Medicago truncatula: one gene and its partners. The protein of the gene in region 2 binds, or shares a complex with, the protein of the main gene of each other region. Links are inferred from orthologs where the notes say so. Each region holds a gene or a part of one and is shown on either strand. Other genes may lie near its edges.

Region 1 (8,332 bases), about 4.4 Mb from region 2:
GGCAGCTGAATTAGATATGGGATTCATACAAGCTTCATTTAGAAAAAGCCAATCGACACTTCAATCAACTAGGGCTTCAAAAGAGAGGAAAGTGAAAATATTTTTAACCACGATGTTACAGGCCTGGCGCCATGATTCAAAATAACTAAAGTCTATGGGAGGAGAAAGAAGAGATGTGAAGCACTAGATCAAAAAATTTCAGAGGGGATAAGAGTTGCAACTTTCTGCCAAGATGGTCATTGAGAGAGAAAGCTACAAGGCATGCATGGCAGTTATGCAGAGTGGAGGTTGGGAAACAGTTAGACTTGGATGAGTAAATACAATCACATTTTCAATTTCTTAATTTTCTGAGATTGTCAGTTACCTGATACATAAGCATCCCAAAACTAACGCCGAGTCATTATTTATAATACGATATCCAGAACAAATAGTTCACACCCCGTAATGAATATTAGGAAAGACAAACCATGGTAAATATAAACATACCTCATCTGGAGAAAAGAAAGCGACAGCATCGGGATCAATGGAACCAGCAGGATGCAAGGATATAACAACTCTGAAGATAGAAGGGCACAGCAATTCTATGACTGCAACCTTCTCTGGAGCAACCATTCCCATTGATCCTAACTTTCGCTTACTAGAACCACGATAGTTATGTTCCTCAGAACTCTCATTTGGTGAAGAGGTGAGTGTGGAAGCACATTTTAACCAGTCCAGCCTTTCAAAAGTTGAAATTTTCACATTTGGCACTTCCTTTTCCAAGGACTGCAGAACATCTGGCAGCGTCCTTAGAAAACTCATTACTTCCTTAGGTTCAAATGTGACTTCTTCAGACCCACAACGTTTCTTTGAATCTGATTCATTAGCTTCAACTCCATCATCAAGATGGGGGAAAAAACGTCTTTTCTGATCAGTAAAAGCTTTGAGAGCTAACCTGAAATCATTCAAAAGCCTAAGTGAGCAGCTAATGTAACATGGGTCAGCAGCATTGAGAAGTCAGTATGATAAATCCGACAAATCCCAAGAGTATTTATTATCTACTGACTAAACTTAACCACCTGAATCAAATCTGAAATAAGAACCTAATTTAATATTACTTAATTCCAATAAAATATGAGACCCTTTCTCGCTTTCTCTTTCCAAAACTTCAACCATGCATAGGCTTATTTGTTGGCCATTCGTGCTCCTTAATAGAATTTCTTTGGCAAAATTACACAATTTGTCCCTTAACTTAATTTCAGCTAATACTTTCGTCCTATATTATCTTTTTTTTTATTAAATCCTTTATGTTATAAAATGTAAACACCATTATCCTTTTTAGATTAAAAACAAAATACATAAAATTCATCAAAAATCCATAAAAATCATCACAAAACTCACAACTTCGTCAAAAAATGCAAAATTTCATCAAAACTTCATCTTCTTCATTTTCTCTCTCGTCAATCAACCTAGCACTCCAACAACATAAAAGGATCTTCATCTTTTTTCACCCTTTCTTCTTCGATTTTCTTTGTTTCTTTTGTTTGGGTACGGAGTTGGAATTTGGTTATGGTTGTTTTTTTCTTTTGGTTATGGCTGATTTTGTTGATGAGTTGGGAATAAATGATTAAGGTTATGTAGAAAATGGACTCATGGGTTTAAGGGATTTTTTCAATTAAATTTGGATTTCTAGAATTGTATGATGAAGATAAAATGGGTTTGTTTATGAGTTTGGTGAGTTTTTTTAATAAAAAAAGAAATAATGATGATGACATTTTATAACATAAAGGATTAAGTCGGAAAAAAAAAAAAAAAGATAAAAGGACGAAAGTATTACTTGAAGTTAAAGAGACAAATTGTGTAATTTTGCCAATTTCTTTCATTTTAAAAAAAAAAATGTATAATCAATCCGGTAAGTGCTTCCTTGAAAAGATCAGCACACATTCATGTGACTGGACCGACTAGAGCTTGAATATGATGTGTGAGCTCGCATCACCCCAAGTGGCATTGTTATTCATGTTCTTATCATATAACCTTGGCCCTTGCATCTAACAATCTACAACACTAACCTAGCATACCTGTACTAATTGTATTTCCACACAACTCAGGCACGTATGAGGCAGTTATCTGGCAGCATAACTTGGCTAAAGCTCATATCATGTATAACTACTGCTTGTTATGAATTCCGGAGGTAATACTACGATTCGAAGAACTAAAATATCCTCTTAACTCTTAAGTATGCGCATATCTTCGTAAAGGAAAAAGAATATTTTCTAACTAAAAATGATTAATTCCATTGGTTCTTTTTTCTTTGGATTTGATTCCTATCCATAACATTCATCAAAATGAACCAACTACAAAAGGGAAAATTGTAAGTTGCTTTGTAGTACCGACACATGTGATTACATTCAATTATGTTATTTTCTTAAATTACTACAACCGTTTAAGAGTTTGAGTCGTGTTCGGTGTCTGCTAGGTATGTTGACAAGGAACCAAAAGAGCGGAAACAAACCTAGTCCTGTCAACGGCAGAAGCTCCAGCTTGACCGGCGAGTTGTCGTTTCCAAGCATAGGCAACAACGGCACCATCTGGACAAACCAGCGGCATATGCAATCCCCAAAAATCCTTCCGTGACCGTGCAGTTTCACTAAGAACTCCAGCTTCTTCAAGCTCCTTTCCTATCAAATCGAAAAAATCAATCAAACAACACCGACGATACCAAAACCCTAATCGCGAAATCAAAATCAATCAAAACGCAACGAAACTGAAAACGCATACCGAGGGATCGAAGGTCTTTAAAATGCTGTTGCATAGAAGCATTCTCTTTGACGAAAACTTGAAGAGGCTTATTGCCTTGATGAGGTTGACCGGCGGCGATGAATAGAGCTTCGAGGAGACGATCAGCGCCAATTCGGATGTCGGCGATGATACGTTCGGCTTGACCGAGTTTGTCCATAGCTAGAGCAACCTGCTTCGGAGGTGCTTCGGCGGTGGAGGAGGGAGGAGGAGTGGGGGTTGAGAAAGTTGCCGCCGTGGCTTGCTGAGTTTGTTGCATTTGCACTGTTTTTGGTGCTGGGGATGGTAGCAAAAAGATAGTGGGATCCTCCTCGGTTAGTATTTTTTCGTACAACTCGGATTGGGCCTTCGTTTAACGGTAAAGGCCCATCAAATAATACAAACTGTAACCACTGCTTAAACTCACTCACTATGACATAAATAAATTTGTACGGTTAACACCTAAAAAAAACAACTCTAAAAATAGATATTAGTATATTTGACACGAGAAATGATATTTGAACAACCATTTTTTAACAATTTTTGTGACAACTTTCTATCTCATACTCGTATTATATTTTTACTTTCTCTCTCTATTGCTTTGGTTTTGTATCAATACCTCTTTTTCTTTGTAAATTTATGGTTGTCATCAAAGTTGTCACCTAAATGGTTGTTCAAATAACACAACTCATTTGACACATATGTATAATGTGTTAAGTTAAATTATGTTTGTTTTATCTCCATAAGATTAGCTCTGGTATGAACAATACATAGTATATGCCGATCAGGGTTCAAACCCCGAACATCTCATTTCTCCACATTTAAAATGTCTGAGCTCCAGTCATTAGGTTATTTAAAAAAAAATTACACTCGTTTTTTTTTTTGTTACAAAATTACACTCGTTTTAGAGAATATGAGTTTACATTTTGCATAACACTTTTTGATCGAATTTTATTTACCTTACAAGTCTCGTCCCTTTGAAAATCAAAAAGTTAACGAAAAAAATAAATACATTATTTTGAGAGGACTTAATTTTTCAAGCCGAAAACTATAGAAAATAAAACATCCAGTTTGAATATTTTTATTTTATTTTTTGTGGTGATCGAAGTTTAAACCCCAGACCTTGCATATGTTATGCATTTCTTTTTTAAATGGGATGTAACAATGAAAAAGAAAAGTTATATGGAAATTTGACATATGCGTTTACAACAAATTAGAAAATTAGATACATGAGAAGCTCTCTCAATATTGTGTTTGGTTTGCAAAACAGCAAGTACTAGATAGAGCAGTACAAGATAGAACAGTACAACACAAGACAGAACAGTACAGGACAAATTTTTTATGGCATTGAGTAATTTTTTGTTTTATACGATTTTTGAGGGACAAAATGCTATTTTGATGTTTTAGACAACTTGTACGTGGGACAAAAAGTTGTGTTGTGGTTTGGTAAGGGACAAAAATATGAGTTTTTGTCCTGTCCCTTGCCTCCAGTTTGTCCTGTACCTGAAACAGTTTTACAAATCAAACACTGGACAACTAGAGTTGTTCTGTCTTGTCCTTCATTTTTTAGCAAATCAAACGCACCCTAGGGTTGTGTTCGACAACTCATGGTTCAAACATAAGTCCAATACCGGCTAAAGCTCATAAACATGTCCAACAAAACCCAAACACTAAATACATTTTCCTTCTCCGTCAAAGAGAGACCTCGAGAGACATGATATTATGTTTTGTAGAATATGTAACACCTTTTGCATCACTCGTTGGATCTTTGCATTTTGGTCTATAAAAGAAGGGACTTCCAACATCCTTCGATGTACGATTCATTCCACGTAAACTCCTTTTTTGCTCAGATACTAAGGTTGTGTTTGGTAACACAAAAAAGTTAGCTTATATCTCTGTTAGATTAGTTTATAAGCTCGTTGGATGAAAACGTGATGTGTTTGGTAAGAAGCTTTTCTCACGAGTTTATAGCTTTTTTTTAGAATCTATTTCCAGTAGCTTTTTAGCTTATGGCTCTGTTTGGTAAAAATAAGTTATAAGCTAGCTAATAGCTGATAAACTAGTTGATAGCTGAAAAGCTAGTTGATAGCTGATAACTTATAGCTAAAAAGCTTGCTTATTAAAAATAATGTGTTTGGTAAAATTAGTTGTTGAAGTGACTGATAAGTATAAAATGACATATTTATTTTTTTTAATATACATATAGACACACACATTTTTTTGTAATGTATTTATTTTTAATATTTTTAATTATAGTTAAATATGTTTTTGGTCCCTATAAATATTCAAACTTTTGGTCTTAGTCTCCATAAAATTATTCTTCGACCTTTAATCCTAAAAAAAATTCACCGACAATTTTGATCTCTGCTTTATGAATCCCAAAAATAAGAGAAAGGTGGAAACAAAATGTGAGCTAGAATATATAAAATTTTAAAACGTACAATAGACTAGTTATTTTTTCCTTTAAAAAAAAATAGGCTAGTTATTTTTTGTGTGGTGTAGAGCAGGTTAGTTATAGCAAAATATAAAGCATTTCCTTAAAAAAAATATATATATATAAAGTGCTCCTAAAAAAAACGTGGTATTTTTTTAAGGGAAAAATGGGGCGGTTATAAAGATGAACATAGGTAGTTGTTTAATTAAAAAAATAATTAATTTTAATTAATAGGGTTAAAGTTGGAAGAAAATATAAAAAGCTACCAGCTATAAGTTAAAGGCCCCGTTTGGATAAACAACTTATATAGATGCTTATAGCATTAGAGTTTACATCATAAGCTCTTATACTTGATAAGCTATTTATGTTTCGATATGTACACTAAAAAGTATTTACATAAATTGAAGTGTTTGGATGTGACATTACATAAGCAATTATTGAAATTTTAAATATTTTTAATTTAACAAAAATATCAGAGAATCGAACCACAATTATCAAGACTTTTTTTGATAAAATTAATCAAGATGTAAAAAACAATATTATAATATATTAATTATAATTATATATATATAGTATAATCAATATTCGTCCTTAAAAAAATATCAAGTTAAGTTTGTTTTTTTTATTCAGTTTTCATTTTGTTATGTAACAAAAAAATAATAAAAATATTCCTTAAAAAAAAAAAAATCTTAGTTACATGTGTTACTTTAGTAAGATAAGTATATAGGAATTTTGTTACTATGCACCGCCAAAGATAACTAATATTATAATTAAAATATATGTTTTGAAAAGTGGATCCGGAGAGAATCGAAGGAGGTTACATAAATTCATAAGTTCTTTGTTAAGCCGGAGGGTAAGCTGAAAATTTAGGCTTATTGAAATTTGCCATAAACAGCTTATGAAACTATGATAAGCTATTTTTATTTATTTACCCAAACACCTTTAAAAAGGCTTATGGGAATAGATAAGCCCACATAAGCTCAAAATAAGCCAATCCAAATGAGGCCAAAAAACTACTTGAAATAGCTTTTCAGAAAACACTATAAGCTCATGAAAAAAGCTTGTTATCAAACACGCCACATTTTCATCTAACGAGCTTATAAGCTAATCCAACAAGCTATAAGCTAGCTTTTTTGTGTTACCAAACACAGCCATATGATGTGTTTGTTAACGAGCTTTTCTCATGAGTTTATAACTTTTTATGAGAAGCTATTTCAAGTAGCTTTTGAGCTTGGAGCTCATAGCTTTTTATATTTTCTTCCAATTTTATCCTCATCAATTTAATTTAATTTATTTTTTAATGAAAAAAACTACCCACATTTATAAGTAACTACCCACTTTTAGGTACCGTTTGGCCAGACTTTTTTTCGGTCTAAAAGCTACTTTAAAACAAAGTTAAAATAAAGCTCTTTAAGAAAAAGGTTAAAGCTGTTTGGTTTCTTTATTTTTTTTTTAGTTCTAAAGTTATTTTTGAGTTAAAAGCTATTTGGCAAAATATTGTACAAAACTTTGAATTATTATTTTTTGGTGGTGTTTGGGGTTCGAACCCGGGACCTTGCATATATTTATGCATTGTCTATAAATAAAAAAACTTTGAATTCATTATGAATTAACATAATTAATAAAAAAATGTCTAAAATATTTTTTGAAGGGAAAAAATATTTAAAATATAAAATATATATTTTTACCAATACTATATTTACTCAATGACGTTTATTTTGTGTAACATGAATACAAATTTGTATCATCATATAAACGACTTGTTAAATATTTGAATAGGATAAATAATTTAAGGAGGCTCAAATAATAACATAAATAATATCATAGTAGTTTGGAAAATTAAAAACAATAATCATTTTTTTAAAGACATAAATCATCACAAACTCAAATATTTCTACTCTCCATCAACGCAACTCCTATTTGATTTCTAACTCTATTCATGTAGCCTCCATCTTGCACTCTTCCTGGATTATATGAACTGATTTCTTCATTTATATTGCTTTCTTCGTCACGCTCAATCATATCTATAATATGTATATGTGTGTATATATAATGAGAATAATTGGTTTTTTCTTTTCCAATTATACTCTATAACAAATTTTGTTATAAGAATACCATATTTTTAGTGTTGGTAAAAAAGATAAGAATTTATATATATAATATTATATTTGTTACATTGCTGGTGTCATTGAAAAAGATATGTTTAGTTTTTTTAATAAGAAAAAGATATGCATAGTTTGTTACAATACAAATGTGTAAATTATATATAAGTATAATTTTTTTAGGCAACTACACTTGTACTTTTAATTAAAATCAAAATTTTATAAAAATAATTATACGCATTACACAACACTAACAAAAATTATACGCATTAGCATAACAAAAAAAAAAAAAAACAGAAAGAGGAACATAAAGTATTACTCTAAACACTAATGTGTGTGTGTATTTCCGTGGTTGAAGAAAGGGAATAAAAATATTCGGTGTCATTCATTGACAGCGTGAATACAAATATTTGCGTGGTTGTGATGATCAAAAGATATCGAAATTAATATATAAGTGATAAAAAGATAATAAAATTCCTTAAAAAAATAGATAATAAACTTAAATGGAACCTCATTAAAAAATTAAATGGACCGGTTAAAAAAAATAAAATGGATGAAAAAAGCGTATTGAAAAAATAAAACAAAAGGTTGCCGACGGGAGTTGAAGAGAGGTGCTTGTGAAATAAATTGGGAAGAAATAGTTTTTTGAAGTAGCATTCAACAACTTTTGGTTAAAGCTCATTCCATTCAATTTTATGCATTCTAAAAAAAGTACTCTTTTTCGAAGGTACTTTATTGATATTGTGTTTGGCCTAACTTCTCCTTAAAAACGTAGAAAAACTGAAAAAAAAACCGGACCAAACGGTACCTTATTAAAAAAAACACCACGTTAGTACACTGTTACCACCGCTCATGTGGTAGTTTTTCTTTATTTTCCTTGTTCCTTTTCTTATTACCTTGCTCTAAATTTATATAATATACTTATAATTTTAAATAAAAAATACAATAAATAGTGAAGCAAATGTTTAGTAAAAAAAATGTTAATTGAATTCATAAAACACATTTATAATTTTGAAGATGAAAGTAATTTGAATATTTAAAA
Region 2 (8,575 bases):
TTTAACTTCTGGTACTGTGGTTGAAAAAAAATTGATGTATGTGGGTTATTTTAGTTTTTGTGAGTAATCATAAAGCCATAACAATTTTCATATTTGGTTTATTCTTTCCTATATGATTGAGCCGTACAAAAGTTGATTGGTGAAATTTGTTTTGGTCATATCATTGACGTCCAAAAAGTTGATGATTCAGAAATTTGTGCATTTAAGATCAGGTTGATTTGATGATACAAAAATTGATCACATAGGAATATGTTAGCTTCTTTCGATAACAGAATGAACAAAGGGAATAAAATTAAATGATGTATTATTGTATCTTTATATAGGACTTTCGATGTCAAGGGATTATGACTACATTAAGGATCTAAAAAATGATTTGGACATTTGGAAAATAGGATTTGGAGTGCTGGATTCTTGGATTGTAAATGGTAGTAATGAGAATCAACATATGAAGCTCATTATTTGTGATGCAAAGATTAGATGAGTTGGTTAAGATTTGTTGTAATTTCATTTATGATTTATCAATGTTACTTATTAGTGTACATTTTGATTTATTTACATTTTTTGGTTTCTTTCTCGAATTTAGGGTGATCGAGTTCATGTAATAACTCGGTATAGAGAATTGGAGCATTGAATGACTTTGATCGAGGAAAACAAGACTTATACTTTGTATAATTGTCATGTGTTTGATAATGACATTGTATTTAATCTCTTTAGGGTTGTTTTTGGTTCTGATACAAAGGTGCAGAAGTATGACAAGTTAACTAACGTTCTTACTCATGAATTTCGTTTTAAGTCATTTAAGGAAATTCAAGATGGAAAATTCAAATCTGACATTTTATATGATATAGTTATGTGCTTTAATTTATTTCTTTGTTTTCTCCGATTATAATATTATTATAGATGTAATATTTTTTTTAAGAAATCATCGGGCTTCTTCATGAGATTGTCAAGACAACACCAATTGGGACTAGAAAGAAACCGTGTACGAACATTGTGTTGAAAGATAAAAGGTATTATTTTCTAATTTGTCAACATCAGATGATAGAATTTTGTATAAGTTTGATAATGACCTGAAAGATGTCTTTCCTTATGCAGTGAGAATATAGTTGATGTAACACTATGGGAAAAATACTCCGTAGCTTGATCATTTACCATCTATTTACCTTGAGTTCTTCCATTTTGTAGTCATTGGCAACCCAAATATATGTAACAATTGGTCAGGTTCGAGGCTGCTCATCAACCTACATTATCCGGTTGTTGAGAAGTTTAAGACTTAGTAAGTTTGCATTATGATTTCAAAATATAGTATTAGAGTAACTTATTATTTCACAATCTGATTTGATTGTTTTTTGACCATGTTTCTTGAATTGTTGTCGTGACCTTAACACTTCTCAAGCTCAGAGTCAAAGTATCAGTCATAACTTAAGTTAGAGTTCGGCTTCTTCTCAACGTACTTTGTACAACGATTTTTTCAATCTGCCTCAGGTTAGGCCAATTACTGAATTTATAAACTTAGTCATGGTCTGCTTTTTTTATGCACGAACATGCTTTGAGTTTTTTGATGCACAAGTTAAAAATATATATTGCATTATTCTTTATTTCATGTGCATAATTTGGATTAGGATACATACTTCATCACTATTTGGAAAACAACTAAATTCAATCCTAACCAGTTTGGATGGTATTATAAGAGTTGCACCAAATGTTCGAAGACATCAATGTCAAATGGTGCTAGCTATAGATGCACATGCGGGAGTGATGCTTAATTTCCATTTGTTTCAACAATGTTAATTGGTCAACGGGGTTCATATAATGCACATACATGTATTTATCTAGACTTTATAGGAAGATAATAGGAAGATAAATTAGAAGTCATGATACATTTTCTTTAGCTTAAATCAGTTAAGCTACCTTTATTTTATAAATTATATGTAACTATATTCGCATGCAGAGAAAGTATAAGTGTCGTCTCATTACCGCCGAAAGAGCAAGCTATGAAAAATACTTGGGTGGGCTATGGATCAATTTCTGCAGAGAACGTGTGATGATAGAAGGTGGTAAGCTCATATTTGGTCTCGAAAAGTCACCGAAGAACTTGCACGTTCGAGTTGTTCTAAAGTAGATATTTGCTGCTGAACTATTTGAACTTCTACTATTTTGACGTATCGCTTTGGACTGTAATCGTAAACTATTTTGACTTTGGGATGTCATTTGTTCTTTTCATTTTGTCTGATGTAAATATTGGCAAAAATCTCTTTTTAGTTAGTCTTTGACACTTGGAGTCTCTTTTATAAACCTAACTATTATGTAACGTTAATCTGCACATTATTGGTTCCTTCATTGGTTCAAATTAGTATCATGTTAATTATAATGTTGTTTTCCTAATCTTTTGAACAAAATAGAACATGCCCTTTTTCTACAGCAGATCTTTATAATGCTTTGGAACCAACCCATACATATTTTATGATGAATTATAATGTTCCGTCGTTTTAACATATCTTCTTTCGATTTTTTTTTTTTTTTTTATCAAAAACGTTATTGAACCCGTGCGAAGCACGGGTTTGTAACTAGTTTAATAAAAAAATTCTAATGGAATTAAAAAATTGGAAAAAAAATAAAAAAGCCAAGTCAACATGCCAAATATTCAATTTTATACAGTCAGCGTCCCATGTCAGCTTATGTGCACAGTCAGATTGGTTCAGGGGTGCAAACCAAAAAATCTTCATTTTACAAGGAAGAATCTCCAAGTTTTTTTTTATAGGGGAGTATACCAAAAGACCCCCATATAACAGGGGGGTAAAAGCCTATTAATCTTTTTATTTTTTTATTTTTATCAAAGCACAAAAGATCAATACACCGAGAGGGAGCTTGTACCCTTTATAAAACAAGATTACATAAATGTTTTTCTCGGGAAAGGCAAATGAATGCTATCTCTCCGGAGAAAAGCAGCAAGAAAAGGAGAATAATTACTCCAATATTGAGAAGAAAAAAACAAGGGCAAGCTTTGACCATTTTTGGTCAACGCATCCGCTGTCAAGTTTCTCTCCCTTGAATATGAGTACAAGATGAATTAATCATTCTAGTCATAACCATGCAATTACTCCAACGGATCCTCAAAGGCCAAAGTACAACAAAATTGGAGTTGAAAGCATTAACCAACATCAAATAGTCGGTGTTAATCCACATGTTTGCCAACTACAAAAACTCATTGATCGGTCATCTTGACACAATTATTGAGAAAACAAGTTATCACATAATCGAGATAGGTTCTAAATAAAGTTGAAAATCACAAATATGTTTAATTGAAACAAATAATGATGTCTGGATTACAAGATTATTGTTCAACAAGGAATAAACGTCATTTTGGGGATCATCCAAGTCAACAAATTTAAATGTATTGTTCAAGATGCCGATTCAAATATTCTCATCATCGAGAAGGAAACCATAAGATTTGAATTGACGAGTTTAACGACAATAAGGAAAGATTTGACATTGTTTAATAATTGTCTAGCACGCTTGGTGTTGACCTCAAATTTGTTGTGTAACAAGTAAAAAGTGGTGAATCTAATACATTGAAGAGGAGTAAACTCAAGGAAAAAGTTTCATAGTAATTTTAGAAAAATATATATAAAAAGAAGGTTTCCAAAATCGTAAAAGTAACCTTATTTAAGGAATGATATTAAAAAGGAATGTCTAAATTTGAAAATAAACATATAAATAAGAGGAGTTTGGATCCTATCTTATAAATGAAGATTGCAATTTGGTAAGAGATATAAACAAAACATAAATTGTAGGTTCTACCAACAAGTGGGTTCCATTATCATTAATTATTTACAAATTTTATTGTGTCTTTATATCTTCAAATGGAATAAATGGATGAGATCCAAAATAGAGAGATCTTAACTCAAACGAAAGGACAAAAAGACATAATCGAGCAATATATATATAACGCATTGTTGTCTTCTTTCAATCATACAAATGTCGCGTCAGTACCAATTTGTCCCCACTATATTGAACTATGAATCCCCCAAATGTTTTATTCCTCTCGACCAACCTTTGTAGTTTGATCTTTCTTTTCAAAAAATATTTTGAATAATCTAAGAAAATTAAAATATTGCTTTTAATAACTCATGAAAATCATTAATTTTTGACTATAACGGTCAAAATACATGCAAATGAAGACTTTCTTGCAAAATTAGATGACTTCTTGCAAAATTAGATGACTTCTTTCAATCATACAAATGTCGCGTTAGTACCAATTTGTCCCCACTATCTTGAACTATGAATCCCCCGAATGTTTTATTCCTCTTGATGTAGTTTGATTTTTCTTTTCAAAAAATATTTTGAATAGTCTAAAAAAATTATAATATTGCTTTTAATAATAACTCATGAAAATCATTAATTTTGATTATAATAGTCAAAATACTTGCAAAACTAGGTGACTTCTTCTTCTAGTTGGTTGTTTGCTTGATAATGTCATTAGAAAAACAAGTCAAAAAGTTGGATTTGGTTCTTAATAAAGACGAAGATCATAAGGAGTTAATATGTTGAATTGAAAGAAACAATATTACTTAGATTCCACGATTCACGTTTAGCATTGAAAAAACACTGACTCAGGTAATTAAATTCATTGTTCTGGATGCTAATTATCACATACTTACCATCGAAAAGGAAACCTTATTATCGAATCGATGAGTTGGACAACAACAATGTTTGACAAAGGCTGTCAAGGGTTTGATGACAACCTTAAAGCCAAACTTAACAAATTAAAAATGACAAATCTTAGAGAAACAAATATTATTAAACTCATATAGTAAAAATCTTCACCAATAAAAAAATAATACAAAAACTGCAATAAACTATAAAATTAACCTTATCTCTTCTAGTAATATCCCTCTAACACGTGATCACGTGGAAGCCACCGTTGTAATCAAAGAACTAAAAAGATAAGTAAACTCGTATAGAAAAATGAAATTAAAAACTTATAAAAACGTTAATATTTACCTTATTTATCTTACTTACAACATTTGTATAAAATGTGATCACCATATAACCAATAATTAATTATTCTTTAACGCCATTGCAAGGCCGAAATTGCAAGGCCGGACGTCATGACCCGGGTTCGAACCCGGGATCTCACAGTTGTGTGTGAGTTTATTTTCAGTGGATTACCACTTCATCTAAGACCAAAAAAAAAATAAAATTATTCTTTAACGCATTTTAAAAAAATAAAATAAAATTCTTTAACACATGTTCCATAAAAAAGTTGCACCAAATAACATTAGCTATCAACATCAAAATCTAAAATCTAAAACACATTGAGAAGAAAAAAAAAAAGGTGTAAGAAAATCCAAGTATTTGTTCAAATAAAGTAATATATAAAAGGAGAGAGAAACATGAGAGAGCACCGTGAGACACAAGCCCAGAGATAGAGTGAGAAAGCGAGAGAGAGAGAGAGAGAAGAGAGAGAGTGCGGAATCACGAAAGAGCGCGTTCTTCTTCTTCTTCTTCGTCTTTCCTTTGCTCCTAATTGACAACGGTTCAAAAATTAACCGTTGTCTTTTTGACCTAAAACCCTAATTTGATTTCGATGCATTAACAGATCAAGAAGAACCCTAGAATTGAACAATCGAAATCAATGGCTACGGCGGAGTTAGGGCAACAGACGGTGGAGTTATCCACCCTCGTTACTCGTGCCGCTCAAGATTCATACAATTCGCTTAAAGAGCTTGTTGATAAATGCAGGTCCACCGAATTATCCGATTCCGATAAGAAGATTAGCATGCTCAAATTTCTTACCAAGACTCAGCAACGTATGATCCGTCTCAATGTCCTCTCCAAATGGTGCCAACAGGTCAATTTTTTCATCTCATTTCTATTTTTAATCCCAATGTTATTGAATTTCATCTTTGTTATTGTTTATTGTGTTACTAATTGTTATGTAATGTGTGTGTGTTATGTTATGAATTTATGTATGATATGATGATTGTGTTGGTGGGCTCTTACGAGTCCTGATCTTCTTTTAATAATATTTGTTATTAAAAATTAAAAATAAAATTGTGTTGGTCATGTATGATATGATTATGATAATGATAACATTTAGTGTTAGAGTAAGAGAAAGAGAGTTTGTATATGCGATGATTTGCTAATAATTTGTGGCTTTTCAGGTTCCTTTGATACAGCACTGTCAGCAACTGTCTTCAACTGTTTCGAATCACGACATGTGTTTTACTCAGGCTGCGGATTCGTTGTTTTTCATGCACGAGGGGCTTCAGCAAGCTCGGGCTCCGGTTTATGATGTTCCATCCGCCATTGAAATTCTTCTCACGGGGAGTTACGAGCGTTTGCCAAAGTGTATTGAAGATGTTGGTTCTCAGTATGCTTTGACCGAAGATAAGCAAAAGCCTGCTTTGAAGAAGCTGGACATGCTTGTTCGGTCCAAATTGCTTGAAGTTTCTCTTCCCAAAGAAATTTCTGATATAAAAGTTTCCGATGGCACTGCAATGGTTAGGGTGAATGGAGAGTTTCAGGTTTTATTGACACTTGGGTACCGAGGACACATGTCCTTGTGGAGAATATTGCATTTGGAGCTGCTTGTCGGTGAAAAAAATAAAACTGTGAAACTGGAAGAACTACGGCGACATGTGCTTGGAGATGATCTAGAGAGACGAATGGCAGCGGCCGAAAACCCATTTTCAATATTGTACACAGTTCTTCACGAGCTGTGTGTTGCACTTGTCATGGACACAGTAATAAGGCAAGTGCAATTCCTTCGACAGGGAAGATGGAAAGATGCAATTCGGTTTGAGCTCATATCTGATGGTGGCTCTGGTCATGGGGCAAGTTCAAGTTCTGTGCAGAATCCTGACGGGGAATCTGATTCGTCTGGTCTACGAACTCCGGGGTTAAAAATTATTTACTGGTTAGATTTTGACAAAAATGCTGGTGTGTCTGATTCAGGTGCTTGTCCATTTATAAAAATTGAACCTGGACCAGACCTTCAGATAAAGTGCACCCACAGTATCTTTGTCATAGATCCGTTAGCTGGCAAGGAGGCAGAGTTTTTCTTAGACCAGAATTGTATTGATGTAGAGAGGCTGCTATTAAGAGCTATTTGTTGCAATAGATATACTCGGCTATTAGAAATTAAAACAGAACTGATAAAAAATGTTCAGGTCTTTAGAACAGCAGATGACGTTGTGCTCCAGTCTCATATGGGTGAACCTGATATTGAATATAAGCAGGTTAGATTTATTGAAGAAATTTTAAAGTGGTAATTTGCATTGGGCTTTCTGTTAAACGACTCTTTTGAGGGGTTTTTAATGTCCTTGTTTGTTGTCACAGTTTTAGAGGTTTTACTTCACATTCTTTTCGTTTCATAGAACTCTACTAGAGTTCTAATTCTGAAAGTTCTGATCATTGTTATTTTCTTTCTTGTTTAGCATTATAGCATACTAGCGTTGCAATTACTTTGCTTCATAATTGCTCATGCAGGAAATGTTTGTAGTTTTGTAAACTGTGAATCTGGTATCTTGTATCTGCATTACCAGCCAATGGTTTGGGGTTTACTTTGTTGATATGCACGTGTTTTTCAGTGCAATACTGTTAACCACTTGACCAATAATCTATGCCATGCTAACTGCTGTTGCAATTTTATGTTTTCATTTATGGCACCTTATGGATTTTCTGTGGGTAATCTTATGCATACCTTTATTTAATCTTGATGGGTTTTAAAATTAAGATATGTTCTGTCTGTAGAAGGATAATAAGAGATGCGATAAGGATTCTGAGGGGAACGAGGTACTGCACGTGCGTGCTTATGGCTCTTCTTTTTTTACTCTTGGAATTAGTATCAGGTACCTTATTTCACTCACTTGTTTTTTTTTCCCTAATCTCTTGCATTTTAATCTAGGCATTTTCAAACCAATTTCCCTGTTTTTTATTCAGGAATGGCCGATTCCTTCTTCAATCATCACAAAATATAGTTGTTTCTTCTGCCTTGTTAGAATGTGAAGAAGCTTTAAATCAGGGATCTATTACTGCAGCTGAAGTCTTCCTAAGCTTGAGAAGCAAAAGTATGTTGCACTTATTTGCATCTATTGGAAGGGTTTTGGGCCTTGAGGTACATTTTCTTGTTACTCTCTCCATTTGTGTTTCAAAGAAAAATCTCTAAATCAGTTTGGACTGTCTTTTAGCTTACTTTTATTCAGATCACCAGCTTCCCTAAGATTTATGGATTATGGGCCACCCTTGCAGGTTTATGAGCATGGATTGAACACAGTCAAAACACCCAAAACCTTGTCGAATGGTTCAACTGTGCTGATGATGGGATTTCCAGACTGTGGAAGCTCTTACTTCCTGCTTATGCAACTTGATAAAAATTTTAAACCCTTGTTTAAGTTGTTAGAGACTGAACCAGATCCATCTGGAAAAGACAAAATATTTGGTGACCTTAATCAGGTGCTGCGGTTCAAGAAAATTGATATAGCACAGATGCAGGTGCTTGAAGATGAAATGAATTTAAGCCTGGTGGACTGGGCAAAGTTGCATTCCATTTTGCCCAATGCTGCCTGTC
Region 3 (8,155 bases), about 13 Mb from region 2:
TGGTAACTCTCTTGAAGTCTCCGCTTAGTGGCTTCAAGCTTAGCCAAATCATCTGAACACTTGGACTTCTGAAACATAAAAATTAAGGTTAGAGAGAACCACAAACTTACAAAATTAATGCACATACGAGTTATTTTATTTTGCTTACATCTTGCTGAGCATTGAGAGGCCTCTTAGGGACAGTACTGTTTTCAATTTTCGGCGGCATCTTTGGCTCCACATTGGCTTTTCGCTGAATGTTCGAGTTTAACGGTCTTGCACGGCCAGTATCAGCAGCCATTGGTTTATTAGGCCTAGCTGCAGCCTCGTTTTTCTTCATGTGCTGACTCTTGTTGTCCTTGGCAGTGACGGCCGTTTCATTAGATGCCGGAAAATTCCTCTTGTCCTTAGTTTGAGTGCCAAGAGCTGGCTTTCTTCCGTTGTCACGGTTCTTGTTGAATGGTGCACTCTTTCGAATATCTGAAAAAACATTCCCCATTTACAATCATCAATTTAAGACGAGGGGAATTTAGACACAGAACCGTAACAACGAAAGCTAGGTAGACTAAACATATGAAATGCAAATTCAACTCACTTCCATCGTCATCCATGCCATCAAAGAACTTTACATCGTCCAGATATATACAACACAAGGAAAAACCAAAATTCAGTTTCATATATACAAGCCTTTGAAATGTAAGTTTGAGAAGGGAAAAAGGACAAGTATATATACCTGTGAGAGTTCAATCGTACCGGTTGGGGCAACAAAGAAAGCCCCTTCGTCCAAAGGAGGTGAAGGAAGTCCTCCTTCTTCCTCTTCTTCATTTTCAACAACAGATGGATTTCTGGAGTCCGGTGTGCCTTCTTCTGAAGCTACAAACATTCAATAGCATTTTTCCGACATGAATTAATTTTGAAATCGAATAAGAAACCAGCATAGTTGTACTCATCAATACCACACTAATAAGGTCGATAAAAAATTCTACCTGCGACAGGTGTGGTTGTCGTCGCCTTCACCCATGCATTGACCAGTTCTTTCCATCCACTAGAAATTAAAAAACATTAAACAAGTTTAGAATTTGAGTTTGTTCGGTATCCAATTGAAAACATTAACAGATTTGGCATCTCAACTATTACAATGATATGAATCAAAACAATAATGGCCAAGTCATTCACCTATCTAAAGCATGTCATCAATGTTAACATCAAGGACACATGACTAACTAAGAACATGGTTCAAATTAACTAAGGCTTATAACTTGTGACCATGATTATGGAATCGGTGCAACAGTCTGATTAGTTAAGGATAATGATAGTGAATTGCATATTGAACAACACAGCGGCCATGATTATAAAATAAACCACAATCCGCAGACGAGAAACTGAAATCCATGAAAAAACTAAACCATACTCTATGAGAGTCCGTGCTAGTTGACGGATATCCTTCGATCCATGCTTTCTCAGATGATTCACAGCCTTTCCAATTTCAGTTGACTGCACAATTTAATTTCTGATTGTTAAGAGAACAATCTTAAAAAAAGTACTAGAGAAACAACACAAAGTTCCCCCAAAGCTACTAAGAAAGATCAATTCTAACCTTCAGAAGATCGACACAGAGTTGCATCAGTTGAAGCCTCCTCAGAGACTCAAACAGCACCGAGTCAGACTGTAGCAACATGAAACAAGCAATCACTAATCAGTGATCATAAGACACAAATGAATTCAACCTTCAAACACGAACAAAAATGCCATCCAAAAAACACCATATCAAGACGTATCCTTTCCAAGAATCACATCACACATTCATGAAAATTATAATTCAAAGAATCAAGAACTAATGCATCAGTATGCAAACAACAAAGAAAAAGAAAAGACTATACCTCATCTTCATGGTTATTGAGAATCTCTTTAATCCTCGTAACCTCAGCAACAAGTTGTGATTGCTCTTCAAGTTCATCAGTTAAAGCTTCAGCTTCTCCAAAGCTGTAATTGCTAATAGGGTTAGCATCCATCACTCCATTTTCTTCCCTACTGCAATCCACCTTGCTCTCTTTGCTAGCACCCTCTCTAACAGAACTTCTCTTGCAAAGTTCATCACCATTATCATCATCAGGCACAGACAATTCAACCTTCTCACACCCCTTACAACGATTCAGCATAACAGAAAACAATCTCTCAGCAATTCCATCTCTCCTAGACTTAAACTCCTTTGGACAATCAGAAGCAGCAACAACAATTGCATGGTCAATTATATCGAAAATATCCGAATTCGATGAACGAAAGTAACTCCTCCACTGATCAAGTGACTCTGACTTCATCTTCAATCCCAAAACAACAAAAAATTCAATCTTTCAACAGCTAGATCCAAATATGTTATAATAAACAATCACCCACGATTCAAAACTCAATTTTTTCTCACTTGGGTCATTGAAAATCGGTTTGATTCTTCTTCAGGTATTGATCTTGAACCCTGAATAAAACAATGACGAAAGAATGATCAAAAGGGTGAATATTTTAGTCTGAAAGAATGATAATCAAGAATCAAATTCTTGGAAGTTTGTAAATTTATTAACTTTAATTTAAATTTGATATTCTTGGGTATCCCATTTAGGAAAATTTGATTGGATCAATGTTCGGTAAGAAAATTGGATATGATGATGATATGGTTTTGGAACAGATTCGGTAACAAGAAACAACATAAACCAGAAACAAGAAAACAACATAACACGCATATATGATAACAAATTACTACGTTGTGTGTTATGTAAAAAATATTGTATTGTTTCACATTTTTCTGGTGTGAATAAAAACCAAAAACCTCAAAAAGAAGAAATAACCTTTTTGTTTTGTTTTTTAAGGTACAAAAAAACATCTAAAAAAAAAAAAAAGAAGCGAAATTTAAGGAAAAAATAAGACACCTGAAAAATCTAACAAGAAGAAACTGCAGATTCAGTGTAACAAAAACAAAAACATAATCATAATAATATCTATCTACCTATGTAGATTGTAACAGCTTTTTTTAATGTATACGTAATGTTGCACTATGATGGTATGGTATATGAATAGTCCAATACCGCGTGCGTATGAAAAACTTGGTACTTTTGTTTCTCTTCCAACAAGAAGAAGTACTTTTAGAGAGAGAAAAAAGGGTTTTATGAATTGTGATGATACCTTTTGGTTGTGTTTTGACTTTGATCGAAACAAAATTTGGTTTGGAGAGAAAGATTAGAAAAAGAGCAACAGAAGATGTGGAGAAAGAGAAGTGCTAAGTTCTGTCTCTTTGTGCTACTATTTTTTTATTTCATATAATATATCTAGGGTATTTTTTGGACTGATTTTTCTTAAAGAAATTTACCTATATTTTGGGCCCATAAAAAATATAAGAATATACCTCCCTAAAAAAAAAAAAATTATATTATATTTCTTATCAAAAAACAATTTATATTATATTTATGATATTGTTGATATACTCCGTAATCGAAAAAGATAAACATATTTTGTTATGTTTGTTGTAATTTAAGAGTCACAAATATTTATATCTATATAATTTCTTCAAAACAAATATTTATACTTATATTTTTAATCAAAATCAAACTCTTATATAAAACACTTCTTTATAATCTATAAATTTTAACACAATAAAAAGAGCACTTATATTTGTAAGCAAAATCAAACTCTTACATAAAACACTCGTTTATAATATATAAATTCTAACACAATAAAAAGAGCACCTATATTTTTAATCAAAATCAAACTCTTATATGAAACACTTATTTATAATCTTATAAATTTTAACACAATAAAAAGAGCATAATGTTTGTCGATTCATTACTTATATATAATTTTTCTCGTTATTATTTTGTATTTTTTTAATTTGACTAGTTTTATATTCTATTTTCTATTCAACAGGTTTTTTTTTTCAAGTTTTATCATTATTATTTTGACAAGAATGGTTCAATTTTATATTCAACGGATTGTTTCCATATAATCTTATAATTAATATGGTGTTTCCATATAAATAAAAATTTACCATACAAATGATAAAATTAAAGATAAGATTATAAAACTCACGTCTAATAGATATTTGTGGAGATATTTTACGAACTAGTTTAAAAAATAGCATAATCGGTTATAAAAAACAACATAATCGATAAACATACACTTTATTAATGAATCAAATCATTTACGGACGACAATACGAAAAAGGTATTTCCACATATGAAGGCATAATCAAGTAATTTGATTAAATTTATGTTTAAGTTTTTCTTTAGACGGAATGTTCGTGTTTGTTAAATCTAATAACGAGTAATTTGATTGAATTTATGTGTAAGTTTTCCTTTTGATGAAATGTTCTTGTAAGTTAAATCTAATAACGAGTAATTTGATTGAATTTATGTGTAATTTTTCCTTTTGACGGAATATTCGCATAAGTTAAATCTAATAAAAATGACTTAATTTTTTTTCCGGAATAAAAATGATTTAATTTAAGACTTTGTATACAAGAATTCAACTAAATCAAACAATAATAACATATTTTTAAGTTACTCCCTAAAAATATCTCTAACAAAATATATTAGTTGATTTGATTATTTACTTTCTTAAAATGTCTCTAAAGATAACTAATTGAATTTGATTGAATTCTTGAGTAAAAAAGATATACACGGAATATTCATAAAAAACAATAATCTCTCAAATAAAAAAATATTATAAGAAAGTAGGTAGTGAATGTGGTGCGATATAGATAGATAGGGCCGAGAAAGCGGTTCTGAAGGAACGAGTTATGTGGGGCCCTAGACTCGGTGCTTAAATACAACCAAGTTTTTGTGAGTTTTCTTTATTTTAATCTCATATTCTTCGAACATATCCAAATCTTTCTGTTTAGATATAATTATTAGCAAAAGATTTTACTCTATCTTTTCTTATGCATAGTTTTATTTTTTTTTAAGTTTATTCGGTATAAATTAAAAAATTACTTTGATTGATAACCAAGTTTTAAATATAATTTTACCTTTTTTACTCATTCACTCATTTTATCATTTCTTCCATATAACTAATGGAATGACGAGTATTACCATTTTTTAAGTATGTGTTTGTCTGTTTATATTTTTTATTGTATGAAAAATCATAAATTTATAAATCAAAAAGTCAGAAGAAGATAAAATCATAAATTTGAAACTTAAAAATTCATAAAAAAAAGATCGAAAAGACAAAATTAAAACAAAAATAAATAATGGATCTAACTATTATCCGAAATTAAGTTGATGATTCATAAAGTATCAATTCAATAATAGGAGTTTTATTTTATGACTTAAGGGACCAAGTTAAAATTTCAGGTAATTTTTGCTAATACATAATTTTATTCAAGACCAAAAATATTTTTTTGGTAAAATAACACAATTAATTTGAAATTGAATAATGGTTTATTTTTAATATTATTTTAATTGTGCACATAATTATAGTCAAAGACTAAAATAGTTAATATTATTATAACAAACAAAAGATGATATGACCACAAATTTTATAAACAACAAATAAACTTCCTTTTTATTAAAGAAAAAGATTTAGAGCGAGAGGAAGACGCTCGGTTTAAGGTAAAAGAAGATCTTTTGACCAAAAGAACAACTACAAATATATTTATATTTATCTCTCTTTAAAGATACTAATAAGGCTCAAACCTGAAACGTTTAAACATATCTAAAAAATCTTCCTTCCTCACATAAAAATTGTTTTATTTAATTATTTGACACCGCTTAAAAAAAATGTATAAATAAAAAAAATCTTTTAATCGGGAACTTCATTCGTAATAAACTATAACAGAAATAATACTCTGAATTAAAAAGTATCATTAAAATTCCATCACTAAGTTAATGATTATATTAATTTTTGGGATCAAATTTGAGACCTTCTTTTTAAAACTTATTCAATGTTCTTTAGTTCTCTTATCAAGCTACCTTCACGAGTTACTAACTATTCAACTTGCATAACTAGATAACTAACTACCTCAAAATATACGTACATATTACATGGACAAATTTTAATAAAAATGAAAGTAAATAATTGGTTAAATTTAACATGTTCAATTTTTATTTTTTGAGTAAATCACCAATTAACTACCTCAAAATATACGTACATATTACTATTCAATTAATGAAGGTTTTGAGCTAAAAAACTATGGAAGAGTGAGTATCATCAAAAGAAAAAGCTGTGGGTGATGGACACATAAAAATGGAAATGGGTAGGTGGTGGTCAAGAAGTTGACGTGTTGTTATTTGGAAGTGAGAGACTATGGTATGGTGGTGGCGGCGACACATCAAGTTCACTGCACCGTCACACATGATTTTGTGATACAAACTTTGTACATTTATTTTTTCTTTCGCACTGATTTTTGATCTATTAAAGGTGGCGACTAATCTGGCTCGTGCATAGAGGCATGTGCACTGATCAAGTGTTATTTTTCTTAGGAATTGAATTCGATATTTCTCGGATACGTCAATCGAAGAAGCTTCTTGCCACTGAAGTCCAAATAATTTGGTCCATACATTTTTTTCTTTACGGTATGGAGGCTATATTTATGCACTATAATTGTGAAGAAGTAAAAAAACTTTGTACATTTTTTTTATACACTCCGGAAAATGCTTAGAAGATTTAAGAACATTATTAAGGTCTGTTTGATGTTCAGGATATGATACAGGTAAGATATGATATAAAGTTAGATGGAGATAAAATATGATAATGACATGATAAACATTAATCTTATCATGTGTTTGATGCGCACATGATAACAAACAAGACATCATTATAATTAAATTAAAAAATTGCTCTCATAATTAATTAAATATTATAAAAATGGCATGTTATTAATTATAATAGAAAATACATGCAATCATTATTTTAAAAATAACAATATTATAAAAATGGCAGAATATCAATATAATAAATAAATAAGGAATGATCTTTTTTATAAATGTTTGTAACTTTTAAAATATGAAATCTTACACTACAACATTTTTAAAGAAAAAGTTGTTTACGGATATAATTAGAATACTAAAAACACGAGTATTGGGACAAGACGAAGTGATTAATTATAAAACAGTTAGTTCATTTCGCAAAGTAAATGGTACACGAAAGAGATTTCCATAAAAGAGAGGTGGGTCACTTGGACCTCTTAAATGCTAAGATTTTCCTCGCCAGAATCTCTCATATGTGACATTTTAAGAGCCTTCGAAACAATATCGATAAGAGCCTTCGAAAAGCATGAGGAATCAAGTTGGTAATTAGATAATTAATTATTTTCAAAACGTCTTACATATCAGCCCTACGCGTAAAAATATATTGAAAATACATTATTGTGCACATTAAAAATGTAAAATTGAACGAAATTGTGATTGATTTATTTTTGCTACATATATTCAGATTGCTTCACAAAATATATAAAAAAAACAATCTTTTATTTTAAATCAGACGTGTAAATATATTGAACGAAATTTTTTCTTCAAATTAAAGTCGTAAAATTTAAAACAATTTTTTTTATAAAGAAAGAAATTTTCATTGATTTATTCTTTTTTTCATATATTCAGATTTGGTCCGAAAATATATTGAACAAAAAAATTATTTCAAACCAACAAGTGTAGATATACTGTCTCAAAATTTTGAACAAAAAAGTGGAAATATACTGTCTCAAAATATATTGAACAAAAAAATTATTTCAAATAATCCTTAAAAAAAATTATTTCAAATAAAAAAGTGTAAATATATTGAGAAAAAAAAATTCTTCAAATTAAAAAGTGTAAATATATTAAAAAAAAAAATCTTCAAATAGAAAAATGTAAATATATTGTCTCAGAATATGGTGAGCAAAAATTTTCACCAAATTAAAAGTGTAAAATTGAACAAAATTTTCATCGATTTACTTTTACTACGCATATCCAGATAGGTTCCCAAAATACATCGAACAAATTTGTTTACTTCAAAGTAAAAAGTAAACAAATATTAGAAGGATAGAACAAAACAATTACATAATTCCATTGGCTTCCACGCAGTGATTTTGTAGCTGAATTGATTAACATATTTTTATACACAATCTTTATAAGAATTAAAAACAAACACTTGATTAAACAAAATTAAGCAAAGAGATGCATCCGACTTTCAAACGTATCACCATATAATTATAACATAC
Region 4 (8,118 bases), on a different chromosome or scaffold from region 2:
TTTTGTGAAGTGAGAGGAGAGGCTTTGGTCCTTTTTGTGTCTGGTCAAACTGAAAAGGTGTTAGCTTATGATTTATATTTTGAAGGGTCTCTCAAATATGTGTAAATATTGCACATTATAAAACAACAAAAGTGAATTTTTTTTTATTGAAAAACAATAATTATTTATTAAAGAAATACATATTTAATATTAAATGTATAAATTTTAATATAAATTTACTTTTTTGAACTTATAAATATGTACAAATTTTTATATGTTAGAAAAAACATATTTAAATATGGATTATGATTTAAGACACATGTTAACGTTTCTATAAAAAAAAAAAAAACAAATATAAAACTTTAATCTCTTGAGAAATAAATTAGCACATTTTTTGATACAAATTTTTTATCTTTACGTGTGTCCGGTTAACTTTTCTTTGAATATTTATTATTATAGATATTTATTCTTTTTTTTTTATTAACAAATTACTAATACGAAGTTTTCACTCACGTTAATGATTAATATATATGTAACCAAAAAAAATAGTGATTAATATATCTAATCTTGTTTAAGACGGTAAGACATACGATATAACTTCTCATTTTTATATTTTTTTACACACCAGAGATCAAATATATTATCATTTGATTAAAAATTTAAATTTTGTTATTTATTAAGAAACATAAAATTTATTGATAACTGTCTTTTTCTATTTGAAGAGGCTTATTTATTTTGTTTGGTCAGGTAGTCTATTGACTAGAATTCACCTTATAAAGTAAATAAGTGGGGTGTCCGGGGTTCGAACTCCAACCTCTACATATAATAATGTATTGTTTTACCAACTGAGCTATGTTCACAGGACTTTGAAGAGGCTTATTGATAACTGTCTTAGTATGACATTGTTTAAACTTTAAAGAACCAAAATAAATAATTATTGTATAAATAATAATATAATTATTACTTTAAAAAGTTTTTAATTGATATTTTCTTTTATGCATTTTTTAAACAATACAAGAGTTGGAGTATTGTTAAGAAGACTTATATTTATTTATTTATAGGATTTATGAATGAGTGTTTGTGTCAGGAATCCAATATAACGTCTGAGATAGACCAGGGCTATAATTCATTCCAGGACAATTTGTTCAGCCTTTACTCTATCAATGTTTGATTCAGTGTTTGTATGTATGTACTACTACTAGGTGCTGTAGTGCTAGTAAATAGATACCTTCGTACTTTATTATCATAATTTTCAACTAATTCAGAGAAATTATTAAACTGAAAAGTAAATTAAACTAAATAAAACATTATTGTATTATTATCATTATTTTTGTGGTGAAACATTATAGTACTATTTTTTTAGTGCTGTAAACATTACAGTATTATACAACTAAACACAAGTATATCTCAAAAACACTACAGAATAGAAAAGTAGACAGAGTTACGTGTTATTGTCGGGCTTTCTTTCCTTAATCCATGTTGTTAATTAGGTGGTGGTGTGCGTGTGCGGGAATAATTAAAGAGTTCATTTATTTCAACATAAAAATACTTATAGTATTAATCAAATCATTAGATTTAAGTGACTACAAATTGTTCGGAAGAAATTCAGTTTGATTTTTTAAAACAACTTTTGGTCAGGTTTATTTATCTCTCAACCCAATTTCAGATTTGTATGGCTTTATGACGTTATACCAATATAATGTAAGGATTTTGATGTTTAAATATCATTATTCACAATTAAAATGATGTCGTTGTAAGGATTTATCACTTATTTAAAAAAAAAAAAACAAAAAGACAATGGTGTCACACTCTATATTGAGTTGGAGAGGTATATTATGTTGGTACAATTTATGAGAGATAGCGATTGGTGTGATACGAGACATACGAAGTTGCTACTCTCTCACATGCTGGACATGCCTGTATCTTACTAGTTGCTTGCGACTTGTTTGGAGTTATTTTCATTTCTCATAAAATAATTGAGAATTTTGTTTTTGTACCACAAAAATTGAGAATTTCATTAACAATATATTTCATCAATCTCATGAATAGAGTACTCTATTTCTTCTAAGAGATAGAGAGTTTCTTAACCATAAAGAATCTTAAATCAATTTTTTTTTAATAGAAGAAATAATTTTCACTAACAATTCTTATGAGACCATTTTATAAGTTTTACTACTTTCTTTTTCCATTGTGACCTCAATATTATCAACCAAGGTGATTCAGACATCATTAAGTCAATTTATAGGGAATATTAAACGTAATAAAGATTTTTCTATGATGTTTATATTGTCGATATTAAGGAGCATTTAATGTATTTCCGTGAGCTTAGCTCAGTTGGTAGGGATATTGCATATTATATGCAGGGGCTGAGGTTCGAACCCCAGACACTCCACTTCTCCACAATTTAATTGTGTGAGCTCTAGCCACTAGGCTACTTGACCCAAAAAAAAAAGAGCACTTAATGCAATTGAAGAAAATTCTAAGAAAAGTTTAGTTCTACTTTGAATGCCACATCCTTATAGAAAGATGGTGATGACACTAAGAAAGACTCCTTCGATGATGAGAAGATTGGATTATTTATGAGCCGATACGATACAATCAATATGCCAAGAAAAATGAGTCGAAGCGTAGTGACAAAAATCTCATGAAGTTTCGGAATGCAAAAACCAAAGGAGGTGAACTTAAGAAGGAAGAAAATGTTCTTAATTGCTGCTATTGGTGCGGGGGTCCGGGCACTTAAGAAACAAATTTCTATACTGTTACAAAGTGAACTTCTTTGAAGGAAAACATGATCTGAAATTGGACAGGCCACAAAAACAAATTATAATATGTAAAGAGAAAATATATGTTGTGATAAATATTAAGCACAAAAGTTGTTTTTTAAGGAAGTATCAAACACAGAGTTGATAATCAATAAATTAAATTACATATCTTAAAATTTAAAATACTTCTCCATCCGATGTGAGTGACTTGAAACCATCAATAATAATTTCATAATTAATATCTGTAGTAATTTTTCTTTCAGTAAAAATTGTCATGTTATGTTTAGAAACTCATCTTAAATAATTCTAGATCATGTTATCTAAATTATAAAGCAATACTAAGAGTTGTATCAACTAGAAAAGACGGCAACAATATTCCGATGAAGAGAGTGAAAGATATGGAGAAAAAAAAAAGAAAGGCGTGAATGTATCAATATATATGACATAAACATGTGAGAACCCGGTTAAATCACCATCACTTTTGTTTACGGTGGTCGGTGGAGTGGAACGCACACGTGAGAAGAAAAAGGTCGGTGAGTCGCAATTAATTTGTATTAAAAATTTAGGGGTGTTTTAGTAATTTCTTCTATATAACAAACTTTTATTTTTCTTTTGGCGGTGGGTCGTGGCCCAATTACGCCCATTAAGAGCTCTGCCACTGCCAATGTGTCAACCACATGTAGAGTTTGCACTTTGGAGACAAGGAAAGTTACGGCAAAAATGAACTATTTACGGGTATGTGTTACATTAATCAACAATTAGTGTCTATGGTATTTGACAATAGAGCAATGAACTCCTTCATTTCTTTCAATTGCTTTTGACGATTCATGCTAAAATTATCATCAATGTTTTAACCCATGGTGGTAACCACAACTATTAAAGGTAGGATTGAGACTACTTTAATTTGTGAGAAATGCCCTATCACCGTTTTTGAACAGTTCATCCTAGTTGATATTATTAGACAATGTTCATAAGATTATTCGATGCCTTTTTATTAGAGGACAAAGTTTTCTTTTAATGCTTAGAGGGGTTACTTAAACTGAATAATAAATGAGTGATATACTACTATACTAGTAGTTAATGAATGAGTTTAAAGATTATTTTCTTTATAACGAAATTACTTCTTTACCACTGGAAAGGGAGAAGATTTTATATAGACTTGGTTCCAAGAGCAGAACCTATTTCCATTGCATCTTATCTGATGCCTCTATTTGAACCAAAGGAACTTAAGACACAATTGGAAGATCTCATTCATAAACACTTCATTAGACCCAATATGTCTCCTTATGGTGCACCAGTTATGTCGATCAAAAAGAGGGATGATAGGATGCAATTATGTGTCAACCTAACAAACTAACAATACAAATAAATATATGTTACGACAGATTGATGATCAGTTGAATCAATTTAGAGGAGCATCGATCTTTTAAAAGATTGATCTACGCTCAAAGTATCATCAAATAAAAATAAAAAACTCATACATACCAATACCAAAGACAACATTCAAGATCTCTTACGATCATGTGAATTCTCGATTTTCCAACCATATCTTGATAGATTCGTGGTGGTCTTCATCAATGTTATTATAATCTACATAACATAATTTAATTAGATGCATGCTTAAAAAGATCTTTTTTTTTGGTTACATTACATGCTTAAAAAGATCTGTATACGATAAAAAAAAATATACGGTGCAAATTATTACCGAAGATATAAAAAAATACGATAAAAGAAGTAGTTATTAATGGTAGTTATTTGTATTTGACTTACACATAGCCAAAATCGGATTTAACCGATGCGATACAGTGACACTTGACTTTCAACGTTCCTAGCTTCCGCTACAACACTCCAAAGCTTAAACCCAGAAACAAAAACGAAAATTGAATGAAAGCGTGAAAATGGATCAATCTCAAAATCAAAGATCAATTACAACAACAACATCACAATCGCGTTCTCTTCAATTCCACCCAGCGCGTGTTCCAATTCTCGATCTCTTCAACCTCTACTTAGGACTTGGAGTAAGAATTTTCTTTCCATTCTCTTTCTTTCCTCGATATTTTCATCTTCCTCATTTTCTTTTTGTTTCTTCAGAGAAACAGTCGTAACAAACCTGACGACTCAATCCGTGAACCACCGTAAGTTCACTCACTGCAACAATGCTCAATTCTCGTTAATCCTTTATTTTTTGCTTTGGTTTTTTAGTTTAGAGAATTTGTTTAGGGTTTTGTAATGTGTTTTTGTTGAAAATTTGATTTCAGGAACAAAACGCAGAAACGTGTGCACGCGATTAACAGAGAGCTTCCACCGCCGAATGAGCAATTCATTGTTGATTTTGAGCAGCTTCAGAGTCAGTTTCCTGTGAGTTTTTTCTCTTCAAATTACGGATTTTCGCTTTCTTGTTTAAGTGATGTGAAAGCCTGCAAAGATGGAATTGTTGATTTAGGGCATGTTTAGATTGAAATATTTGAGCTTATCTACTGTCATAATGTTTGGACCGACTTATTTGAGCTAATCTACTGACATGAGCACTTGTGAGACGGTTTGGGAGAACTGGTGAAAACAACTTATAGCTTATACGAAAACAATTTAACTAGTTTTATCTTTTGTCAAGGAGATAGCTTATGCATATGAGCTTTATTATGATAAGAGATTGTGCTATAAGCTGCAAATTATGTTGTTTATCCAAACAAGAACTACTTGGGACAGCTTATGGAAACAACTGATGACATTTATTTAATCTTTTGACATATAAATAACTTATACATAAACACTTATATGATAAACGCTTAATTAAACTCTTTATCGAAACAGGGACTTATTCTTCAAAACTGTAGTTGCTGACTAAATCATCAATATTTTGAAAATCTTCAATCATATTTAATGCATGTTTGGATGACTGGTGACACTGGAAAATCAAAGTGAGCCATCGTGATTCTGTGAGACTACAAAGTGCAGTGTTTGCCAAAATCACCACAAGTCACTGTGATTTTGCCAATCTCTCCTCTTATGCAAACCAAACATTCACTTAGTGGTCATGGACAATGTTTATGCGTTTCTGTTGTCATTGTTGTATTTATTTATGTTAATGGTGCATTTTTATATCAGGACCATGAGCAATTGCGTTCTGTGACAGAAGCTATTCTTATACCGCTGGTCGTACAGTGTAGTGGTCATGGGCCACGGTCAGATTTTCTGCTTTTTGTTTTACGGAGCTTGTGCGGTATTGGGTGCATTAACTGGGACACCTTTCTTCCGGCCCTTGTTTCTTCAGTTTCTTCAGCAGAAATACCGGTTGGTCAAACGAGTCAAGCAGTGTCAACAGTTACCTCCTCTAGCTTATCACAGTCGGGAATGCTGCCTCCGCCAAGCACAATTGCTAATTCTTCTAATTTTCAGTCATCAAATCCCGCATCTCCATTGACTTCTGTCCATACTATTGGCTCCCCTGCACAGTCATCTATTGAGCCGTTGTCTTGTGCAGCTCTATCTCCTGTAAAATCATCTGATATTTCCTCGGCTGGACAACAGTCTAAACAAAGAGGTAGCCCATCTGTTAGAAATAATGATATCAGTTACAGTAGCCTTCGCCAGCTATGTTGCAAGATTATTTTAACTGGTCTTGAGTTCAGTTTGAAACCCATGACATATGCCGAAATCTTCAACCATATGCTGAACTGGCTGGTGAATTGGGACCAGGGACAACAAGGAGTTGATGAATCTGATAATCAAAAGTCATGGAGACCTGACAATGCCTTAGTTGCATGGCTACATAGTTGCTTGGATGTGATCTGGCTTTTAGTTGACGAGGGAAAATGTCGGGTTCCCTTTTATGAATTATTACGCAGTGATTTGCAATTCATGGAGAATATACCTGATGATGAAGCATTATTTACACTTATCTTGGAGATCCACAGGAGACGAGATATGATGGCTATGCACATGCAAATGTTAGACCAGCATCTACATTGCCCTACATTTGGGACTCATCGGATCCTGAATCAGACAACACCTACTATTTCAGGTGAAGGAATAGCACATTTGCGCCTATCACCAATCTCATATTTAAGTGTGCTTGGGGAACCATTGAACGGAGAGGTAAAAAATCTCATTTCTATTTCAAGAAACTCAATATTGATGAATGAGACTGTACTTGAATGCTTGGATACTATCATATTCTTCAGCAAACTAGATATTTACAATACCCTTTTTCATCTCTTGTTAAAAATGCAAAATAACGACCGTCTTAAAATCAATACTACCTGTACTAAGATTTTTGCTATGAAAGTGAGGCAAAATGGTTAGCCAAGTAATCACTTGATCAACCAAGCCTTCACAGCACGTCAAATAAAAAGTTGACTGGAAAGTTGTTTAAAGTAGGGAATCAATTTCATAATTCTGAAAGATTTAGTTTGAGTTATTAATGATTTATTTATGCGGAACATTTGATGTAGCTGTTCAGAACTGTTTATAAAAATGATTGAGCTAGTAAATCTAGTTACCCTGTTTGCTTCGGTTTTGGGCATCAATAAGTTAAATATGATCGTCACGTTTCCACTTACATAACAATCTGTATATATGCACTGTGTTTCTGGCTTTTTCCAGATCTACCATACAGATAGAATATTAGTGGCATGGCATTTCGTCACTGTTTATTTCATTAATTTTCATTAAATATATCTATCGATATAATTGATTCTAATAGACAGTCCATTAATAAATTTTCTAATATTCATTGATTTCTCCAATTTGAATGTCAACTATTATTTAATTTTTTTTAGTTTGTCCAATATTCTGCAGTCTTATTCTATTCTGATGGAATGCATGTATTTGAGTTTGATCATAATTTGTCTCGAGTTGATAAACTAGTGTCTTGATGTTTGTTTGTAGGATATTGCAATCTCTATTCAGAAGGGAAGTTTGGACTGGGAGAGAGCTGTACGTTGCATCAGGCATGCTCTTCGTACTACACCTTCACCTGATTGGTGGAGACGGGTACTGGTACTGGCTTCTCCCTACAGGCCTTCAGCTCAAGGGCCTACTGCTGGTGCTGTTTTTTCTACGGAAATGATCTGTGAGGCAACTATTGATAGAATCGTAGAACTATTGAAATTAACAAATTCAGGCAATGATCCTCTCTCTCTCTCTCTCTATATATATATATATATATATATATCGTAGATAGAGTCGTAGAACTGTGTGTGCGCGCGTGTGTATTTCAACTCACAAAACCCATGTTAGATTGTCTTGTTGGGATTTAAACACTGCTCGTAGAAGTAATGTGGATTCAAGTTTAGGCAGGAATCTTGTGGTAATATTTTAGGTAGGAATCGTGTGGATGTGGTTGTGTTTATTACCTCTCTGCGACTAGATAGCTACT

What was found.
Region 1: mediator of RNA polymerase II transcription subunit 14 (region 2) and mediator of RNA polymerase II transcription subunit 27 share a complex: the UniProt entries of both Arabidopsis thaliana proteins name them as parts of the mediator complex. The link is inferred for Medicago truncatula from reciprocal best matches to the Arabidopsis thaliana genes SWP and AT3G09180.
Region 3: mediator of RNA polymerase II transcription subunit 14 (region 2) and probable mediator of RNA polymerase II transcription subunit 26b share a complex: the UniProt entries of both Arabidopsis thaliana proteins name them as parts of the mediator complex. The link is inferred for Medicago truncatula from reciprocal best matches to the Arabidopsis thaliana genes SWP and AT5G05140.
Region 4: mediator of RNA polymerase II transcription subunit 14 (region 2) and mediator of RNA polymerase II transcription subunit 23 share a complex: the UniProt entries of both Arabidopsis thaliana proteins name them as parts of the mediator complex. The link is inferred for Medicago truncatula from reciprocal best matches to the Arabidopsis thaliana genes SWP and AT1G23230.

The regions. Positions count from the first base shown.
Region 1 is NC_053048.1:50,166,301-50,174,632, reverse strand, and holds the start of mediator of RNA polymerase II transcription subunit 27, read right to left. Parts: upstream 3,105-8,332; 5' UTR 3,035-3,104; coding exon 2,758-3,034; intron 2,658-2,757; coding exon 2,492-2,657; intron 935-2,491; coding exon 487-934; intron 1-486. UniProt on the Arabidopsis thaliana protein: Component of the Mediator complex, a coactivator involved in the regulated transcription of nearly all RNA polymerase II-dependent genes.
Region 2 is NC_053048.1:54,600,739-54,609,313, reverse strand, and holds the start of mediator of RNA polymerase II transcription subunit 14, read left to right. Parts: upstream 1-5,400; 5' UTR 5,401-5,638; coding exon 5,639-5,854; intron 5,855-6,167; coding exon 6,168-7,244; intron 7,245-7,758; coding exon 7,759-7,856; intron 7,857-7,947; coding exon 7,948-8,122; intron 8,123-8,256; coding exon 8,257-8,575. UniProt on the Arabidopsis thaliana protein: Component of the Mediator complex, a coactivator involved in the regulated transcription of nearly all RNA polymerase II-dependent genes.
Region 3 is NC_053048.1:41,746,206-41,754,360, forward strand, and holds the start of probable mediator of RNA polymerase II transcription subunit 26b, read right to left. Parts: upstream 3,275-8,155; 5' UTR 3,151-3,274; exon of another isoform or gene 2,898-3,150; intron 2,450-2,897; 5' UTR 2,408-2,449; coding exon 2,399-2,407; exon of another isoform or gene 2,298-2,398; coding exon 1,860-2,297; intron 1,646-1,859; coding exon 1,577-1,645; intron 1,474-1,576; coding exon 1,391-1,473; intron 1,025-1,390; coding exon 966-1,024; intron 853-965; coding exon 713-852; intron 603-712; coding exon 575-602; intron 460-574; coding exon 149-459; intron 69-148; coding exon 1-68. UniProt on the Arabidopsis thaliana protein: Component of the Mediator complex, a coactivator involved in the regulated transcription of nearly all RNA polymerase II-dependent genes.
Region 4 is NC_053042.1:11,310,588-11,318,705, forward strand, and holds the start of mediator of RNA polymerase II transcription subunit 23, read left to right. Parts: upstream 1-4,512; 5' UTR 4,513-4,639; coding exon 4,640-4,759; intron 4,760-4,832; coding exon 4,833-4,876; intron 4,877-4,999; coding exon 5,000-5,099; intron 5,100-5,846; coding exon 5,847-6,836; intron 6,837-7,628; coding exon 7,629-7,863; intron 7,864-8,118. UniProt on the Arabidopsis thaliana protein: Component of the Mediator complex, a coactivator involved in the regulated transcription of nearly all RNA polymerase II-dependent genes.